3 linked regions of the Struthio camelus genome follow. The protein of the gene in region 3 interacts with the protein of the main gene of each other region in a pairwise test. Links are inferred from orthologs where the notes say so. Each region holds a gene or a part of one and is shown on either strand. Other genes may lie near its edges.

What was found.
Region 1: the proteins of UBE2I (region 3) and HNRNPC interact in a two-hybrid assay, tested with the Homo sapiens proteins (2 studies listed by BioGRID and IntAct). The two-hybrid records come from large-scale screens. The link is inferred for Struthio camelus from reciprocal best matches to the Homo sapiens genes UBE2I and HNRNPC.
Region 2: the proteins of UBE2I (region 3) and DACH1 interact in a two-hybrid assay, tested with the Homo sapiens proteins (2 studies listed by BioGRID and IntAct). The link is inferred for Struthio camelus from reciprocal best matches to the Homo sapiens genes UBE2I and DACH1.

Annotation. Positions count from the first base shown.
Region 1 is NC_090970.1:27,225-33,333, reverse strand, and holds the start of HNRNPC (heterogeneous nuclear ribonucleoproteins C1/C2), read left to right. Parts: upstream 1-2,828; 5' UTR 2,829-3,292; intron 3,293-4,908; exon of another isoform or gene 4,909-5,063; intron 5,064-5,352; 5' UTR 5,353-5,378; exon of another isoform or gene 5,379-6,061; intron 6,062-6,109. Other genes in the region: G-protein coupled receptor 4-like, read left to right, coding at 1,201-2,181. UniProt on the Homo sapiens protein: Binds pre-mRNA and nucleates the assembly of 40S hnRNP particles. Interacts with poly-U tracts in the 3'-UTR or 5'-UTR of mRNA and modulates the stability and the level of translation of bound mRNA molecules. Single HNRNPC tetramers bind 230-240 nucleotides.
Region 2 is NC_090942.1:179,041,821-179,047,929, forward strand, and holds the start of DACH1 (dachshund homolog 1), read left to right. Parts: upstream 1-1,857; 5' UTR 1,858-2,984; coding exon 2,985-3,742; intron 3,743-6,109. UniProt on the Homo sapiens protein: Transcription factor that is involved in regulation of organogenesis. Seems to be a regulator of SIX1, SIX6 and probably SIX5.
Region 3 is NC_090956.1:242,686-248,794, forward strand, and holds the start of UBE2I (SUMO-conjugating enzyme UBC9), read right to left. Parts: upstream 3,766-6,109; 5' UTR 3,605-3,765; exon of another isoform or gene 3,231-3,604; intron 1-3,230. UniProt on the Homo sapiens protein: Accepts the ubiquitin-like proteins SUMO1, SUMO2, SUMO3, SUMO4 and SUMO1P1/SUMO5 from the UBLE1A-UBLE1B E1 complex and catalyzes their covalent attachment to other proteins with the help of an E3 ligase such as RANBP2, CBX4 and ZNF451.

The sequences.
Region 1 (6,109 bases), on a different chromosome or scaffold from region 3:
ACCGCGGCTCTTTTCTCTCCGTAGACGGCGCAAACTCGCCGCCCTGTAACCGGAGTCCGGCTTCGGTCCAGCCAGCCCCGGAGCGGGAGCGCGATTTCCAGGTGAGGGTCTTGCCGCTCGAACTGCGCCGCCGGTCGCGTTGCTTGGGCAAAAAACAAAAAAAACGGGGTGCTGCCGTCCCCCGGCTCGGAGCAAGCGCGGGGAATTTCTCCGTCCCGAGATCGGGCAGGTTTGCCTCCCCTCGCGCCCTACGGGCTGCGGGGAACGCTGGTCGGCGCGGCGTGCGGTTCCCTTCTCGGAGCGGGGCGGCTCGTCCTCCCCGACCCGCCGCTTGTGCGGCGCGGACGGCTTTTGGGACAGGCGCTAGAGGCAGGCGCGTTGCTCCGACTCGCGCTTTGACCTGGGGAAGCGTGGATCGGGGAAGGAGGACCAGAAGGAAAAATTAAGGAAAACGGTAACAAGCGCGGCCTGGTGCTCTCTTAGCAGCAGACAAGCGGGAAAGGCCAGTTCTTCCCAAAAGCTCAATCGTTTTCCGGCTGGTGCTAGCCACGAAACTACCAGACTGCCGAGACCTCAATAATTTGCTGCTTGAACGAGTCGCGAGGAACTTTTACATAGAGCTGACAGACCGAGAGACTAACGGTTCATGTGGTTGGGGCAAAGAGCAGCTATAAGGTCATTTCTGCCCTGAAAGACAGAGTGAAACTAGGCGGTTTTCTCCCCCACAGCACTCAGCTATGCTATACAGCACACCGGAAAGATGATGCGCCTTTCCCACCTGGCCCCGGCTCATTTAATCGCGTGTCATTTCCCAGCTCTCTTTGAGGCCGGCTAACCCCCGCCACGAGGCCACAAACGGGGGTGAAACCCGGTTCCCACCAGCCTGCGCAGCGGCGTTTCGAGCTGCGCGGGTCACCGCGGCTTTCTGACCGCAGCTTTTTGGGACAAATGTCTCGGTTCGCTCTGAAGTGAACACGAGCAAGCAGCCGCTCCTGGAGGGCAGCGGGGCTGAGGGCTGGCAGGAGGGGTAAACACCCAGCGCGCGGCCGCCACGGATGCTGCTGGAGCTGCGTTTTGTCCTCTCCCGTGCAGAAACATCCTCTCTCGAGCAGAAACGCTGAGCGGAGAGGAGCGGGCGGAGGTCCACTGGCGAACCGCAGGAGAGCGGCTTCCTCGGTCGCGGCCACGCAAGGACCCGGCATGGACAACTCCTCCCAGTGGCACGTGCCCTTTAACGCCACCAAGTATTTCCTCGTCCCCATCTACAGCCTCGTGCTGGTGGCCGGTCTGCCCCTCAACGCCCTGGCCTTCTGGGCCCTGCTGTGCCAGGCCAACGCGTCGGCGCTCTCCGCCTACTTGCTGAACGCGATGGCGGCCAACCTGCTGCAGCTTCTGACGCTGCCCTTCTGGATCCACTACAGCCAGCGGGACCACGCTTGGCCCTGGGGCAGCGCCGCCTGCACAGGGGTGGGCCTGGCCTTCCTCGCTGCCCTCTACGCCAAGAACAGCTTCCTCTGCCTCATTGCCGTGGCGCGCTACCTGGGGCTGGCGCATCCCCTGCGCTTCCGCGGGCTGCAGGCGGCCCGCAGCGCGGCCGGGGTGAGCGCTGCCTCGTGGGCGCTGGTGGTCACCGTGTGCCTGGTGGGCGGCGTCCTCCAGCCCTCGGAGATGCTGAAACCTCACCTCTGCTACGAGCAGCTGTGCCCGAGGGAAAAGGGCTACGCCTTGTTCAGGACCACCGCCGCGGCCCTCTCCTTCTTCCTGCCCTGCTTCTTCATGACTTTCTTCTACCTCCGCGGCCTGGGGAAGCTCAAGGAGATGACCAGCCTGGATGGGAAAGCCAAGCGGAAGATCGCCCGGTCCATCGCTTGCATGATTGCCGCCTTCTACCTGCTCCAGGTCCCTTACCAGGCCACCTCCTACTCCAGGTTCGTGGCGCAGCTGCTGTCGGAGGACACCTGCCCCTTCCAGAGCCGCCTCTTCCTCTACGACCGCCTGGCGCTGTGCCTCACCGCCCTCAGCGACGTGGCCGACCCCCTCCTCTACGTCCTGCTCCTCGGCGACGCGCGGGAGGAGCTGGGGAAGCGCCTGGCTGGCCGGGGCAGAGCCCCTCACCGCCGGCCGATGGTGTCCGGCACGGCCCGGCCGGACGCGGCCCAACCGGCGTGCACCGCGCTGTGACCCCCCCCCCCCAACCGCCCAGCCCCCAAACCTCCATCCCGGCCGCCGCCATCTCCGCTTCGGGAAGAGCATCCGGGACGGAGCGAGCCCCGGGATCAGGGCTGGCGGCAGGGCCGGGGGGGGGGGGGGAACACGACCAGGCCCCGTGAGGCGGCAGTTGGGGGGGGGGGGGCTCAAACAAGCCTCGTTTTTTGGGGCCGTTCCCCACTTTTCCTCACCGCATCAAGCGATTTTTGTTTTTTTTCCAAACGTTCCCCCCCCCCCAAAAAAAAAAAACCCATTTTCCTGCCTCCGGGATGACGACGACGACGCGGTCTCGTCCCCCCCCCCCCCCCCGCCCTCACACCCCGGCAGCGCCCCTCTCCTGTCAGGGTGGCCCCGCCCCCAGGCTGCCGGTAACGGTGCCCGAGCTTTCAAACCAGCCTATCAGCGTGCAGCGTTGAGGTGGCCGGGAGATTGACAGGAGGATGGAACAATAGCCTGCCGGCACCGCGCCCCGCCTCAGCCAATCGTCGTCGAGGACGGTGCCGAAGCTCCCGCCCTCCCTCTCCTGGCCCTTGCGTCATTGTCTTCTGGCCAATAGGAAATCGCCGGCGCGGAGTGTCGGGGCGGGGGGGGAGCCGTGGGAGAGCACAAGGCGCACGCGCAGAACGGCTCGGTTTCAGCGCTCGGGCTACGCCCCCCTCTGCCCCCGGTCTATGGCAGCCCCGCCTAGGGGCGGGGAGCGCCGGCGCCGCTCCCACGTTTATAGGCGGAAAGGGGTAAACGAACAGCACTCTCGACCAATCAGAACAGACACCGGCCTCGCGCCTTGGAGTGACAAGCAGGCTCGCCAATCGCCTCCTCCTCCCGCCTCCCGCGCTGCCGCGCGTTGGCCCGCCCTCTCCCCTCTGTCATTGGCTGGTCCGCGGACGGGCACCCCGCTCAGCGAATCGCGGCGCGCAGCGCCTCCCCTGCCGTCCAACGGCGGCGCGGCGGGGGGGGTTGGGCTGGCTTTCGTCCGGGCCGAGCAGCGCAGAGGGCGGCGTGGGCGCCATTTTGTGAGCAGCCTCAAGCGGGGAGGCGGCGGCGAGGAGGAAGCAGAAGCGGGCAGCGTGCGCCGGAGCGAGCGGTGAGTGGCCGCCGTTTCCCCGCTCCCGGGGTGGGGCGGGGGGGGCGGGGGGGGCTGGGCCGCAGCCAAGGGAGCCGGCGGCGCCGGTTTAGTTAACGGCGTCACACCGCCCCCCCTCTCCACCGCCTCAGCGCGAACCAGCCGTTGTTCCCCCCCCCACACACACCCTTCCCATCGCCGTGATGGTGGGAGGGGGGGCGGTTAACGGCTGCCTTGAGGAGGAGGAGGAAGGGGGGGGAGGGGGATGATGGCGGCGCGTCCCACAGCGCCGTATGTGTGTGTGGGGGGAGGGGGAGCCGTTGGCCGGGCGCGACCACGGCGAGAGCCGGGGAGGGGGGGGGGGAGGAGGGGAAGCGGAGAACGGAGCGGCGCCTCCTTGTGGGCGATACCATTCTGCGGTGGAGGGGGGGGGAACGCGCTGCGTAAACAGCCCTTGTGGGAAGGGGCCGGGAGGAGGGGGCGTGGCCAAGCCGGGAGGAGGGGGCGTGGCCAAGCCAGGTGAAAGCCGCCAGCCCGAGGAGGGGGCGTGGTCAAGCCAGGTGAAAGCGGCTAGCGCCCCGAGGGGGCGTGGCCATCCTGGAGTGGGCGTGGCCAGCCCGCTGAGCAGAGTCAGACGGGATTGGGGTAAGGGGGCGTGGCCATCCCAGGAGGGGGCGTGGCCACACTCCACGTGGCGCTGGCCCTGTTGAAGCCCCAAAGCTGCCGGGGTTGTTGGGGGGGGGGGGGGGGGAAGGAGGAGGTAACAGGACGTCGCTGCCCGAAGATTTGGGTGGAAAACAGGCCGCTTTTGGGGCTGGATTTCTCCCTCCCCCCCTTTTTCCCCTTACCCCCCTTAAAAAAAACAAAATAAATACAAACTGCTTTTCTGCATTTCTCGCCTTCCTGTCTCTCGAGCCGTAGCCCGAGGCAGTCGCCGCCTGTCGTAGCCCCTTCCCGCCCTCCCGGGCCGGATCACACGCGAGCGGGTGTATGTAGCACTGTATTTCTCTTCCAGGCTAAAGGCTCCTCTCTGCCATCATCATCATCACGATACTCACTCGCCAGCTTTTCTGGTTCCTTCCGAGATTGTAACTTTATTCCCCCCCCCCTTCCCCCTCTTGTCGTTTTGCTGGTAATAACCTGCTTCTGCAGTATCTGGCAGGGTTTAAAAAGCGGGGGGGAAAAAAAAAAGCAAACAAACCAAAAAAAAAAACACCCAAAAGACTTTCTTCTGGCCTCTGCTGTGACTCAGATCCCCGAGGTTGCTTGAGCTCCAGTGACCTGGCTTGTAGATCCCTCTTCGCATCCTCTTTCAGGATCCGATGTGTCGTGTGTTCGCTCGGTTCTCCCGTCTCCTCCTTGCCTCAGGGTTATGCGTGTGAGCCTGATGCATCGCCCTGTACGAATCCGCCCTCCGCCACAAGCTCACAGGTGTCTGACGTCCGAGCTGCTCCCTCGGAGACGGGAGAAGCAGAAGGGATTAGAGCGGAGACGGTTTTAAGAGCGTTAGCTGGAAGCGAGGACAGCTGTGAGCTTGGGGCCGTTGGGAGGCCGGCCGATCTCTCTTGGGGGGAGCGGGAGAGGCGGGCAGCGTTGCTGAGGAACCCTGACTCAATCTGTCCCTTCTCCTTTCACAGGGCAGCGAGGCGAAACCCCATCCCTCCTCACTGGAGCTCAGCTTCGTATTAACTCCCCTCCCCACACACGCACACCTCCCGATTTTATAGAGCCATTTTAACGGTGCCCCTGCGGCCTCTTGCTCCCCGCGCCACACTGGAGCTGGATTTAAGATGTAATTTTGAGAGTCAACCTGTATTTTTTTTGCAGCAGCTGGGTTAGAGGAGGAGCCTTTTAGCCCCTCATGAGCTGACCTCTCTCGGGTATTTTTAGAGTGAAGTGATGGTGTGCAAAGGGCTTTGATGGTCTCCTGCCGAGAGCTCTCCCCGCGCGGTCCTCTGGCAACCGCGGCTGGAACAGAGCGTGAGAGAGAGGGAGAGAACAGAAATGATCGTTGCTGACTTGACCTTTCGGCACCTCCCGTTTTTCTAATCTGGGCTATTTTTATTTTTGTTTTTTTACAGCGAGATTTTTTTGATCTTCAGCTACAGTAAGTTATTCAAAATTTTTTTCATTTTTCCTGCCTTTCCACTGATTTCCTTTTTATTGTTGTTGCTAGTTACTATTACTATTATACTACTATAATGCTGATGACTTTACTATGATGATATGTTGCTGATGGTGATGATAATGACACTGCTGATTTTTAACCGGATGAAATCGAGTTTTTCTGAGTGTTCCTGACTGAGCTGGGTTTTTACCCTTTGTGAGACACAGCGAGGTTTTTAAAATTTTTAAGTGGATTGATCACGTTAACTCTTTCCCCCCCCTCCCCCGACTGCTGAGAGTGGGACCCGGTTTCTCCTGAACTGTTTTAGAGCGTCTCTGGAAGTCTGTATTTTTATTTTTTTTTATTTTTTTTATTTTTTTTTATTTTTTTAATTTTTACTCTTTCGTTTGTGCCATTTTTAAACTGTTGCTGCCATATGATGTCTGTGGTGCTGGTCGCCTGCGGCGGCGACGGCCCTTTCCCCCCCGAACGGCCCCTCCCTCCTCCTCCTGTCCCCCTTTTTCCTCCCCTCCTCCCCGAAACCCCTCGTCCTGCTCTCTTCCTCTACGCCGTCCTTCCCTCAAAACAACCCACCGCGATGCCACGGACGCCCGGCCTGGAGCGACGGCAGCCGGCGGAGCCAGCCGCGGAGCAGATAAACCCCTCCCGGGCCATGGTAAGAGGTGCGAGGGCCAGTAGGTTTCCTTGCGAGCTTCGGCCGCCAGAGCTAA
Region 2 (6,109 bases), on a different chromosome or scaffold from region 3:
GAGTTTTGCAGATATCAACTCTGGGATAAAAAAGGAAAGCACCTAACAATATCATGACATGAAGGGATGAGCGAGTGACAGGAATGCAACGTAGAAAAAGTTTACAAAGAGCATTCTCAGGATTTGTTGGTGTATTTATGCGAGCGTGTGTGTGTGTGCACAAGCTAAAATAAATCCAGTCGCTTGCCATAATCGTTAGAAACACTTACCAAGCAAGAAGCTTTGGGGAGTCTTGAAGTCTTTCATAAATCTCTTTCTTTCTCCATTCTAATCCCATTGTTTCATTAAACGAGAAAGGTTAACCCAAACCTGTGGCAGTAAACCCTTTCAAACTGCATTTTCTTTAAATGGTTTTGAACCGTGATGATTATATATCCACAAAGACACAAGAAAAGCAGGAGGACTGGTGTGCATCACGTTGTAAGGAAGGTAGGGTGCAGATGAAGTAGTAGGCTTCCTAATTAAGAGTTCACTCAGTACTCCAAGTGGCAATACCACGCGTGTCTGGCTCTGTCTTAATCTTCTCAAAGGTCTGTTTTATATCTTTAGAACGTGTAAGAGAAAGGGAGACAGAAAAGGGCAGTTGAGGCAAAGCGACAATGAACAGAGCTGGTTTTCTACAACTGAAAATAGGAGGATGCAATACATATACATTTTTCAGTGTATTCCAAGTTTTATGTCAACACTACATCCTCCCACTATAATTTAAAGTTTTATAAGCTCCTCCAGACAAACGTTCCGTAAAAGTGTTCTGTACTATTATGGGTCCACGAGATTTCAAAACAAAGTGTCACTCTGTGTTTTCTTGTTTTTATTTGTCCATTCTGAAGATTTTAGTGTAGGAAATCTAAAACTTTACGAGCAAAAGACATCTTTGTGGTATTAAAACATGTTTTTCTGGTATTAAAATATAAATGTTCTCAGATATAAGAAAACAAGTTAAAGTACAGTGAGCACATAGATATATGAGAATGCTTTATATCTGATAAAGTGGAAATTCCCCCCGCACAGAATTACAATAGTTGAAATTATCCACTGTGTAGATGTGTCATCCCATGAGTCATATCTCATATAATAGTACACATTAAAAAAAAAAAAAAGGAAGCTCAGGGCACATACATGCATCACAATTACTTAAGTACATGATTTATGTTTTTAAAACCGAAAGAGCTGTGTACACCCGACCCTCTGCTTTTGCAGACGGTCCATCTCTATGAATGACTGTTTCTTTGCCCCTACGAAAAACTGAAGTGCCCTGAAGAAAAAAAAAAAGAGCAAAACAAAGCTCTCTACTTCCCTGAACGACCCCTACCATCCCACCTACCGGGGCTATCAAACATGCCCGACTCCAAGCGAAAACTCCGTCCCAAACTTCGGGGGCGGCCAGGTATGGCAGCACGCACGGGCCTGGCCAGCACGGGCAGGCAGGAGGCACACCGCCCATCCGCCACTGCGCATGTGTGGGCAAGCGCAGCAGCTCACTTTGCGCGCTAGCGGGCGGCCGGGCTGCGCGGCGCGGTCACCTGTTGCGGGCAGCGGCGCGGGAGCCGTCGTCCCTCCGCGGCCGCCCGCCTGCCGCGTTTTTAAGTTTACTTGAGCAAAACGCCGCCGGGCTCAGGCGTTTTCGCCTAGTCCCGCCGGGCCTTGGTTTTTGCACGCTTTTTTTTTTTTTTTTGGGGGGGGGGGGGAGGAGCCGCCTCGGTCCCTGCCGCGGCTCCGCGCTCCCCTTCCGCGGGGGAAGAGGGCACCGCCGCCCCCTCCGCCGGCAGTGAAAGCCATGCGGTGGCTGGACGGCGTGTAGCGGGGCGGGCTGTGCCCTTTGATCCGGCCGCTTTCAGGAAGTGCCCTGCAGCTGTGGCCGTGTTGGGGCTTCCGTGCGCGGGGCTCTGCGCCCCGCGCAGCCACCGCCGCGCCCCCCGCCGCTCCACAAAAGGTGCTCGGCGCTGCGCGGCGCGCATCCCTCCGCACCCTCAGCAGCCACTCCCGCTCCGCTAGGAGGAGCGTTTGCGGTCTCCGGAGTGAAAATAATAATAGTAATAGTCCTAATAATAATAATAATAATAATAATAGGGAGGTTTCTGCTTTTGTGCCTGTGCCCCGGCGCGGGGCAGGCTGCGCGGCCGCCCGCAGCGCCGTCTGCCCTCGTCCCGCGCCGGGAGAGCCCCGCTCCCTGCGGGCTTCAGGAGAAGCTTGAAACGCTCGTGTTTCTCCACAAACTGTGTTGACAAGCGATTGCTGAAAAGGGCTGGGAAAATTACATCTCGTCTCTGGTGGGGTGAAATATGAAACATGTAATCTAACGGTTCCTGAAGAGGAGGAGAGGGGGGAGGAAGAGGGACTTCTCTCCCTCTCTCTGTTTCCCTGCTCCGGGTTCCTGGTTGGATAATTTGGGTTAATACTAGTGAGTGAGCCTTTTGCTGCTTCAAAGGGTATTTCAAGTTGCCGGAGCTCCTCCCCTCCGCACCGTGTGACAACAACAACTCGTCCAGAGAGCGAGCGAGCGGCGAGCGGCGGCGGCAGCCAGCACTTCCCAGCTCATTTTCTCTCTGTCATTCCCCTCTCAATCTTTGATCAATGTACTTGCCAGAGAGAACCGAAGTCCTTCAAACCTCCTCCTTTTCACCTTCGTCTTTAACGTGGTGCTAGAGCAAGGACCACAAAAAGAAACTGCCCTCCCCCTCCCCTCGGCCCCAGCCCCGCCGCCCGGAGCGGACTTCTCCTCCTCCTCCTCCTCCTCCTCCTCCGTCCCCACTTGCGGGACACTTTGTGCGTTTCTCTCTCTCACTCTGCCCCCTGCTCTCTCGCTCGCCGCAGCACCTGATCCGGGGTTATTCCCCCCTTCTTCTCCCCCCCTCCTCCCTTCTCCTCTCCTCTCCCCCCTTTTTTTTTTAATATATATTTCTTTTAATTTCCCCCCTTTCCCCTGCGTGTGTGTGTGGGAACTTTCCCCCCTCCCCCTGCCCCCCTCCGCCGTATATGTGACCATGGCCGTACCGGCTGCTTTGATCCCTCCGACCCAGCTGGTCCCCCCTCAGCCTCCGGTCTCAACTTCTGCCGCCTGCACCACCACCACCACCACCTCCTCCTCGTCGGCCACCTCCTCTCCGTCTCCGTCCATCGCTCCCCCGCCGGCCGCCTCGGGGACAAACCTATTCCGGCCGGAGCCCATCGCAGCGGCGGCGGCGGCGGCGGCGGCAGCGGCGGCAGCGGCGGCCACAGTCACCTCCACCACCAGCGGCAGCGGCAGCGGCGGCGGCAGCGGCGGCGGCGGCGGCGGCAGCCCCAGCCTGGGCACCGGCGGCGGCGGCGGCGGCGGCGGCAGCAGCGGCGGCGGCGGCGGCGGCAGCGGCACCTCCACTCCCAATGCCAGCGCGGCCAGCGCGGCCGGCAGCCTGCCGGGCAAGCCGGTGTACTCGACCCCGTCCCCGGTGGAGAACACCCCCCAGAATAACGAGTGCAAGATGGTGGATCTGAGGGGGGCCAAAGTGGCCTCCTTCACCGTGGAGGGCTGCGAGCTCATCTGCCTGCCCCAGGCTTTCGACCTCTTCCTGAAGCACTTGGTGGGGGGCTTGCACACGGTCTACACCAAGCTGAAGCGGCTGGAGATCACGCCCGTGGTGTGCAACGTGGAGCAGGTCCGCATCCTGAGGGGGCTGGGGGCCATCCAGCCCGGGGTCAACCGCTGCAAACTCATCTCCAGGAAGGATTTCGAGACCCTCTACAACGACTGCACCAACGCCAGGTAAGCGCCGCCAGCGCTCGCACGCCCCACGCGGGGCCCCGCCGCCCCCCTCCCCGCCGCCGCCGTCCCTCCCCGCGCCGCGCCGCTTCCCACGGCCGCCGAGCCGGCCCGGGCCGGGGGTGAGGGGCGCCCGGCCGGCTCCCCTGCGGCCACATGCGCTCGCCCCCTCCTCCCCTCCGTGCCTGGCACCCGACCAGCCTGCCGAGCAGCCGGCTGAGTTCCTCCTCGCTGGGACAGGGAGAGAAAGGAGAAAGGGTGTTTCTGCCCCGCTGGCCCCCTCCGCTCGTGCCGTGTGCCGTTGTCGCACTGTCATTGTGCCCTTCTGGCCGCGCTCGGCCGAGGGCTGCCGGGGGCCCGGGGCAGGGCGTGCGGGCCGGGGAGTGGAGGTGTGTGTGTGTGGGGAGGGGGAGCAGCAGGGACAGAAAGTGCTTTCTGACCTCCGCCGTCCTTAGCTTTACACGTGGATGTATCTGTAAAACGGACAGCCCTGGGAAAAAGCTGTCCGAGGGGTGTTCAGGAGTGGGCGGGGAGCGGCCCTGGGTGTGCGGGGGGGGGGGGCGGTGGGGAAGGCACCGTGGGTTTCGCGTAAATCGGACGAGGCGTTGAATCGCCTTCCGGGGCACTTCCCCAGCCGAGGGCCCTATCCCGGGGTGCATGGAGGCCACTTCGCCATCAGCTGCTGTCATATATCCGAAGGGGCACGTGCACTTTTTGTATAGGTCTATGAGGCAGTTGCCACATGGCGAGCGCGGAGGGGGAGGAGGGAGGGAGGGAGGCAGGAGGTGGAGGAGGAGGAGGAGGAGGAGGGCGGGAAGACGGAGGAGGAGGTGGTGTCGGCTGATTTTTTTTTCTTTTTTTTTCTCTTTTTTTTTTTTTTTTGCCGTGGGGTAGCGGGGAGAGGTGCCAGGCGGCCGGGCTGGCCCGTTCCCCCGCCGGCAGGGCCGTCCCCGAGGAGCAGGTGTGAGCAGCGCCCTGCCCCGGCCGGCCGCCGGGGAAGCGGCAGCGCTGAATCACGCCGGGGCGCGCAGCCCGCCCACGGTTACGCGCGCGCGGCGGCCGCGCAGCTCCGCAGCCCGGGGACGGGGCGCGCACATGCCCCCTCCCCCGCCCCCACGCGAAAGAGAGCAAGTGAAAGCCCACCCTTGCCGCAGCCGGGGTGGGTAGGTGGGGGGTGGAAGCAGAGAAAGTCCCGCTGCAACCGCAGCCAGCTGCAAAACTGCGGGCCGAAGAGCGGGGGGGGGGGGGGTAACCCCCAATCTGTAGGTTACGGGGCCAAATCTGTCCGATAAGGAAAAGGGATCAAATAACTGCCGTGACTTGGAGATCAGAGCGCTGGGGAGTGTCTCCAGTGCACCGGGGCTCCCCAGTGGTTGGGGTTAGTGTGTGTGTTGGCGGGGGGGGGGGTAGTTTGCAGCGCTGAGGGTGGTGGGAACTTCACCCGGTAGCTAGCGAAGGTTTGCCACTAAGGAGACTTAGCCCAAGTCCCGTCTTCGGATGCTGCTTTCAAATAAACGCAAACAAGCAGATCGGGCTCGTTTCACTTTTCCATTGTCACATTTCGAGGTGCAGCAACAGCCAGCACGTGGAGCATTAGCCCCGTGCGAGACCGCGCTCGTCGCCTCTGGTCGCGCCCGGCTGTGACATTCCCTCCTTCCCCCCGTACCGGTGTAGCCGAGGGTGCTCGGGGCTCACTAGCAGAGAGCCAGGCAAAGCAAAACACTTCTTGTGCACCACCTCCTGCTAGATTGATTAGCGAAGTTCTTGAATATTCAGGGCAGCAGGGACAGAACAGCCTGGAATAACTTCCAAGCACTGACATACTGTAACTACTTGGGTAACTATATTGTTTCATGTCGAATCGACATAAATTTTAATAGATGCTTTTAGACGATTGTTTTCATGCAGCATGTTAAGTTGTAACATCTCTGTAGGAGTCCCAAGATTTGGTCCTTAAAATAAAGCCCGTATAAATCTTGCTTTGCCAATTATATGAATTATGGTTTGAAACGTGAACAATTAAAGAATACAGCGGGGTTTTTTTGAATGGGGGAGGGCGACACCAATTCCTGGACTTGGTAGGGTTGGAAAAGGGTTTGCCAGTCTGGTTATAACATGGGTTGATTATGTCAACAGTGCAGAATCGACCATGTTTCAACTGTTTCTGAGGTCTGCTGTGTTATCTATCATCCAGCATGGTAGAAATTACAGTAGTGGGCTCAGAAGTGGGTAGGATTTGACCCTTAAAGAATATAATTGTAGTAGACTTATTTATACATCCATTAAGCAAATAACTTAATGGAAAGGATTTACAGTAGGTATGCAAAATGTATTATTACAGTATAGACGAATAAAGCAAAGTGGGTCAGT
Region 3 (6,109 bases):
AAATGACAATTTCTTGCTCTTCCCTCCTCACAGCACAAAATTAAGTGCCATTATTTAAGTTCTGAGGATAATATATTTTATGCAAGGGGGAGGGGGAAAGATAACAGCGTGTAAAAATAGTTCAAAGCTCTCAGCTATTCTACAGCCTAGCCAAAGAGTTAAGGGTAATACTAAGAGACAGTTTGGCTCCAAAACCACTTTGACAAAATGATTTATGAGCCAAAAAGATGTTTTCCCAATTAGTATATTTTAAATGAAGAAAATATTAGGCTGATTTTCATTATTTCACAGTTAAGTGGAATCTGTGACTTAATAGCTCAGTATTTAATTAGCAGCAACTCTGCTGCTTGGGTAAAAAAATTGAGTACTTCAGTGTCTGAATGTGAATTTCACATAACACTGTAGTTCATTAATGAGCCAAATGTGATTAACTAGGATATATTGAGAAGCTTGATAAAGAAGTGTAGTCTACTAGTCTTTGCTATTCCAGTACCCTGAATACCAAAGACCTTGCAACGAAAAAAAAAAAACCACTGATAAACACTGATACTTCCCAGGGTTTTAATATTTACTTTATCCATATCAAATCAGAGAGACAGGTAAACAACTAGAAAGAAAGTCATTTATATTAGATTTAGTTGTTAGTAATACATACTTAAAATTTTTGATCTATTACAATATATAGTTAGTGGTTTTATTGCAAGTTCGAACCTTTGTCGATCCTGCCCCCCCCTCCCCCCCCCCCCAGTCAAACCTGAACTGCTGATTAAGTTTTACTGAATACAACTGGGAAAAAGTTCAACCACAGCTGGACTTGACCTCTGATATTTGTGCCTACCTCTAGCCTCTCTTCTGCAAGACTGTTGTTACAATGTCTTAGAAGGGTCCAGGGACGCTGAAGTAACTAAAATTGGTATCTTCAGGCAGTGAGTGCTACACACTTATTACTATGCAAGTAAACACCACATTAAGTTCTCCCTTCTCTTTTCATATTTTAAAGTAAATCAAGAACTGTCTTGGGAGAGTAATTTTCCTGTACTCCTGGGGACTCACTTTGAGTTTTGTGGCTCCTGCATGACTCTAAGATCGTAAGGAGCATCCAGCATAAAAGGATGTGGAAAAGGAGAATTGTCAGTTCCGGAGCTTGTCACTTTCTTTTTCAGAGCATCTAAATATCTTACATATTTACATGGCATGGGTCAGCGCCTGGTGAACCTCTTCATGAGGCTCAGAGGCTTCAGTACCCTTGCAAGAACAGACAAGTATCCAAAAAAAAACAAAAAACAAAAAACCCCACCACTCATCTCTTGTCACAAACAAAGTAGATGTGCAACTGAGACTGAAAGCTCAGTTTAGAATGAAGATCCCATTAGAATCTGCTCAAAAGGGAATCAATCTATTAACAAATTTCTAACATACACTGTCTAGCAGCTCTTCAGTAGAGGAATCGAGACATCTTGATCAAACTGCTGCTCCGCAGGAGCTTGAGATACGCTAAGCACAGATTGGTCATCTAAATATATATTTTGGTCTCAAAAGTAACTAAGTAGCAGGAAAGAGTGAGATATTATAGTAGGTAAACTAGATCTTCAGAAATAAAACTGAAGAACTCATATCCTCACTGCTATGTTTATCTTCCTCCACAATTTATGCATTTTTAATTTGCAGTAGTAGTTTCCCAGTAGCATTTTGTCCAAATGCCTAAGTTTAACGTTTAGCTCTTGCAATTTCTAGCAAATGCAAGATGTTACTATTAACTTGAAATAGTTAAAACCTGAAAAAACAGCTCTTATTAAAACCAAAAACCAAATGAAACCAAAAAAAACCCACTAACACATCTGATTTATTTCCTCCACTTGAGAAATTTATTGCTATGGAACAGAACTGAGGTCAGAACACATTAAAGGGATGCATCACTGGAAAGAACACATTCTTCTGCCCTGGAAAAATATATAAACCTTATCTTGCAGGGGCCATGCAAGCACAAGAGGTCCATCTCCACGTTCCATTTGGTTTTGCACTCCACTCCACTCTACTCCCCTCCTTCTTTCCCCCTCCCCCCCCACCGCATTAAAAGGCAGAAATGCCTCTTTTATTGCTATCAAAACATTAGGAAACGAACAGAAGCTTCAAAACTTATTTTGTAGTTTGCCTCTGCTGCTGCTGCTACTACTACCCACTTTCGGGGAAAAAATAAAAACAAGAACCACACACACCAAAATAAAACCAAAACATTTATCGTAGGAGTGAACCGGCTGTGTTCCATTACAGATCATAGCTACTTATATCCTCCAATAGGGGAGATAATAAAATAAAAATCTATTTCCAAACGTAAAAAGCAAGTCTCACAAAGAACAGTTCTGCTGCGGGAAAGCAACATCTACTACACACAGAGTTCTGACCTGTGGCAAGTCCCTAAATACATGAACAGCATGCTCTTTAAACGTCAAGAACTTGAACTAGTTCCTACTCATTTCAAACAACCCTAAAATAAACTTAAGACTCCTGGCCTCACATTCCCGCTCTGTGGGTTGAATACTAGCACAAGAATAAGTTATAAACTGGAGTAGCTTGCCCAAGAACTTGAAGACCTTTACTTTTCAGAAGAGCAGAGAAAGCCCACGGTTGTGATTTAATCAAAACAGACCAGCGCCGCACTGGGAGAGAAAACCGCCTCCTGCGGCAGGGGAAAGGGCAAAAGGGGTTACTATCCCGACACACACGGCCACCAGAGCCGCAAGCAGAACAGCCGAAGGAGCGGCGCGGCGAGAGCCCTCGGTCCGGACCGCCGCAGCAACGCCGCCCGCCACCCGGCCCCGGGCGAGCCGAGCGGTGCCTGCGCTGGCCGCGGGCCGCCCGCCTGCAGGGCCCGGCGGAGGGGCCGGGGCGGCGCCGAGGCCTGCGCGGGGCAGCTCGGCGCCCGCCGGGACCCAGGCGAGCGCTCGCCGGGGCGGGGGCCGCCTCGCGCAGGCCCGGTGCCGCCCAGCCCTCCTCGCCGCGCTCGGCCCGCGGCGGCCGCGGCCTCCGGCGGCGGCCGCGGGGCGGCGGGCAGCGCTGCGCTGCGCTGGCGGGCCCGACCGCACGGTCTCCGCAGAAGCCGCCCGGCCCCCGCGCCCCGCGGCCGCCCGGCCCGTCGTGCCGCGGGCGGGGCGCGCCAGGCCGGGCCCCGCTGCCCCGGAGCCGCGGCCGCCAGCGCGCCGCCCCAGGCCCCTCGCCCGGCCAGGCCTCACCGTGAGCGGCCGCAGCACCCGCGCGTGTCCCGGATTGAGGCGGCAGCGAGTGACCCGGATGTTCCCCACTCGGCTCCCCCCCTTTGTCTCTGGCCCGGAGTTTCCCTCCCTCTTTCCTCGGTGCAGAGCGCGGCACGATGGCGTGTCCCTCAGGCCGACCCGTCCGTGCCGCTGCGCCGGCGCGGTATGACCCTGAATCCGACCCGTCCGCCACGCTTTACGCATCCTCGTGACACAGGACCCGAGGCGCCCGGAACAATGCCTGAGTAGGGAGCGCAAGGGGAAATCCCGGGGGGAGGGTCTCTGAAGCCTTCTTCGCTTCCTCTTGCCTCTCGCCTCCTATAGCCCCGTCAAGAAACGGAGTGAATTTTTACCTCGGGCGCTGGGAGAGTCACCTGCACCCTAATTTGGCCTGGTCCCTCGCAGGGCGCTAAAGCCGGTGCCGCAGGCCGCGCCTGCCCCGGGACGCTCTCGAGGCCGACAGGACCCAACCCGCTGTGAGCAGCCGGGCCTCTGATTGGTGGTAGGAGGCCCCGCCCCTAGAGGGCCTTTCACAGGTGATTGGCTGGCTGGAGCGGCTCGTCAGAGGGGGCGGGGCCTCTGCCCGGACGCCGGCGGGGCCGGCAGCTCCGAGCCTGGCGGTTGCCGCCCCGCGTCCCGCCTGTAGCTCGAGCTCGAGCTCGGCCCGAGCCTGGTTTTTGTCTGATGCTTAAGAGGTAGATAGATGCTTTATGTACCGTGGTCGTTTCCTTTTTTTTCCTTGGTTTATAAGAACGCATTTTTAGTGGCATGTAGGCCATGAATCACATTCTGCTCCTCTGTTCGTTTTTTTTTTAATTTTACTGAAATTTAAATGATGTTTCAGTCCTCTAGCTAAAGCCTCACTGTGGTCTCTCTGTGTTAGTGGTTCTTGCATTACCTCCTATATAGCGCTTAAATTTAAAATTGTATCTCATCTTGGGAGTGCTAAAATTAACTTTAAAAAAAAAAAACCCACCTATATTTGACTTTGTCCTAATCCAAAACATGTGCTTTGTTAGAAATCTCATTGCCCGACATCCCAGCTAGTGAGTAGGCAGCGGCAAAGAGCAAGCAGTTCATCTTAGATGCATTAAAATGCCAGTTGGAGGACTTCTGTTTCTCTGTAGCCCTTGACATCTGGGATTTGGTTGCAACTGGCACTTAAAGCTGGCAGGATGAATCTAGACCTCGTTTGAAATTTTTGTTTGTGCTTTGCTCTGCTTGGCTTTTAAAATTCCAACTTAAAATTTTGTTAGATTTTTTACGCTCCTTGAATCACTGTAAACATGATAAACAATATGAAGACATAAGTTGTTTTTGAGAAAATGAAAGGGTATTGCCCAGAGAAAGGGAATAACCTACTATTCATGCCTGTAATGGAGGGGACAAGATGTCAACAGTATAAACTGCAGCAAGAAAAATGAAGGTGAGGCATTAAGAAAATATTTAATGGCAAAGATGCTAAAGCATTTGATTGCCTAATGGGTATGGGAGGGGTGTGGAGACTTCATCAAAGGAGGCTTTAAAAGTAGGTTAGACAACATGTGCTGCAAGTTCCTGCCCTTGGTCAAGGGCATGAGCTGAGTGGTATGTCTCAGCCCCCTTCTAGGCTTTTTGTTTTTATGTGTCTTTAATTAATTCATTGTCTCATTTAATCTTGTCAGTTTTGATTCCTACAGAAAGGATGGAGAGGACAAGTATTCTTTCTGGTTTTCACCTCTCTAGGCTGGTCTCGAGAACTGTTGAGCTATCAGGACAGTAGTTTTTGCCTGATGTAGTAACATCTTTGCGTTAAATCTCAAAAGTTAACTAGGCAATATTTTAAAGAGATGGCATTCCCAGCATAGATGCAAAACAAGGAAGAACTGTTTCCAGAGCTTCCACAGACATATTTGCAACAACTATATGTCATTAAAGAAACCTCTCATTCTGGAATGGGTCTGAGTTTGTGCTTGGAATCCCATGTCTCCCAGGTGTAGGGAAAGAGTTGAAATCAACTTTTCAGCCTTTGGATTCACCTCCGCTGGCCGCATACACCTTTCCGTAAAGGACTGACCTTAGGTTGGAACATCTCCCTGTTGCAGCAAGGAATGCTGAACGAGATCATGAGGCAGAACAGGAATAGTGGCACATCACAGAACTGTTTAAGAATGCAAAATAATGATTTCACCTTCATATAAACAGCCCAGATCCTTGAATCACTTGCCCTGTTCTCATCATGTCCTTATTTAGCTTATCTCCGTAACGGAGTTACTTAACAGTAACTATGTTCTCTTTGAATGAACAGTCCCTATTCACATTTGTGATTCAGCCAGTTATGTATCACAAGGATGCAAAATAAGGATACTTACCTTTCTGTGGGTCCTTGCTCTTGCATAGTTCTCTTCCTGATGCATGGATACCTGTGGCAGCATCTGCCTTAATTGCTTTATTCCTTTCAACTAGTAAATGCTGGAGTAGAGAGGGAAGCCAATTAGCAGATGCATGTACAGAAAATACATCGTGAACAGTCACAAATGACTTGGGGAATGAGGGGGAGTCTCAGAGTTCTTCAGGAAAACACCAGATGCAGATTGCTTCACTAAACAGTTACTGAATGCCATCTCAATGGCATGTCACTTGGTGAAAACATACCTGGGATGTCTGGTGGCTTCTTTGCAGAAGTTTGGAATTGAGATATTTAGCAAGGCTCTGTAAGAACATAGTAGTGGCTATGCCTAATCAGACTACAGGTCACTCTAGCTCAGGAATCACTACTAGCTTCACTACTAGCTTTTGCTAGTAGTGAATACCCACAGTAGGAACAGGACAAACATGTACTCCCCTGTATACCTTTCTGGTATCCAATCATTTGCAGT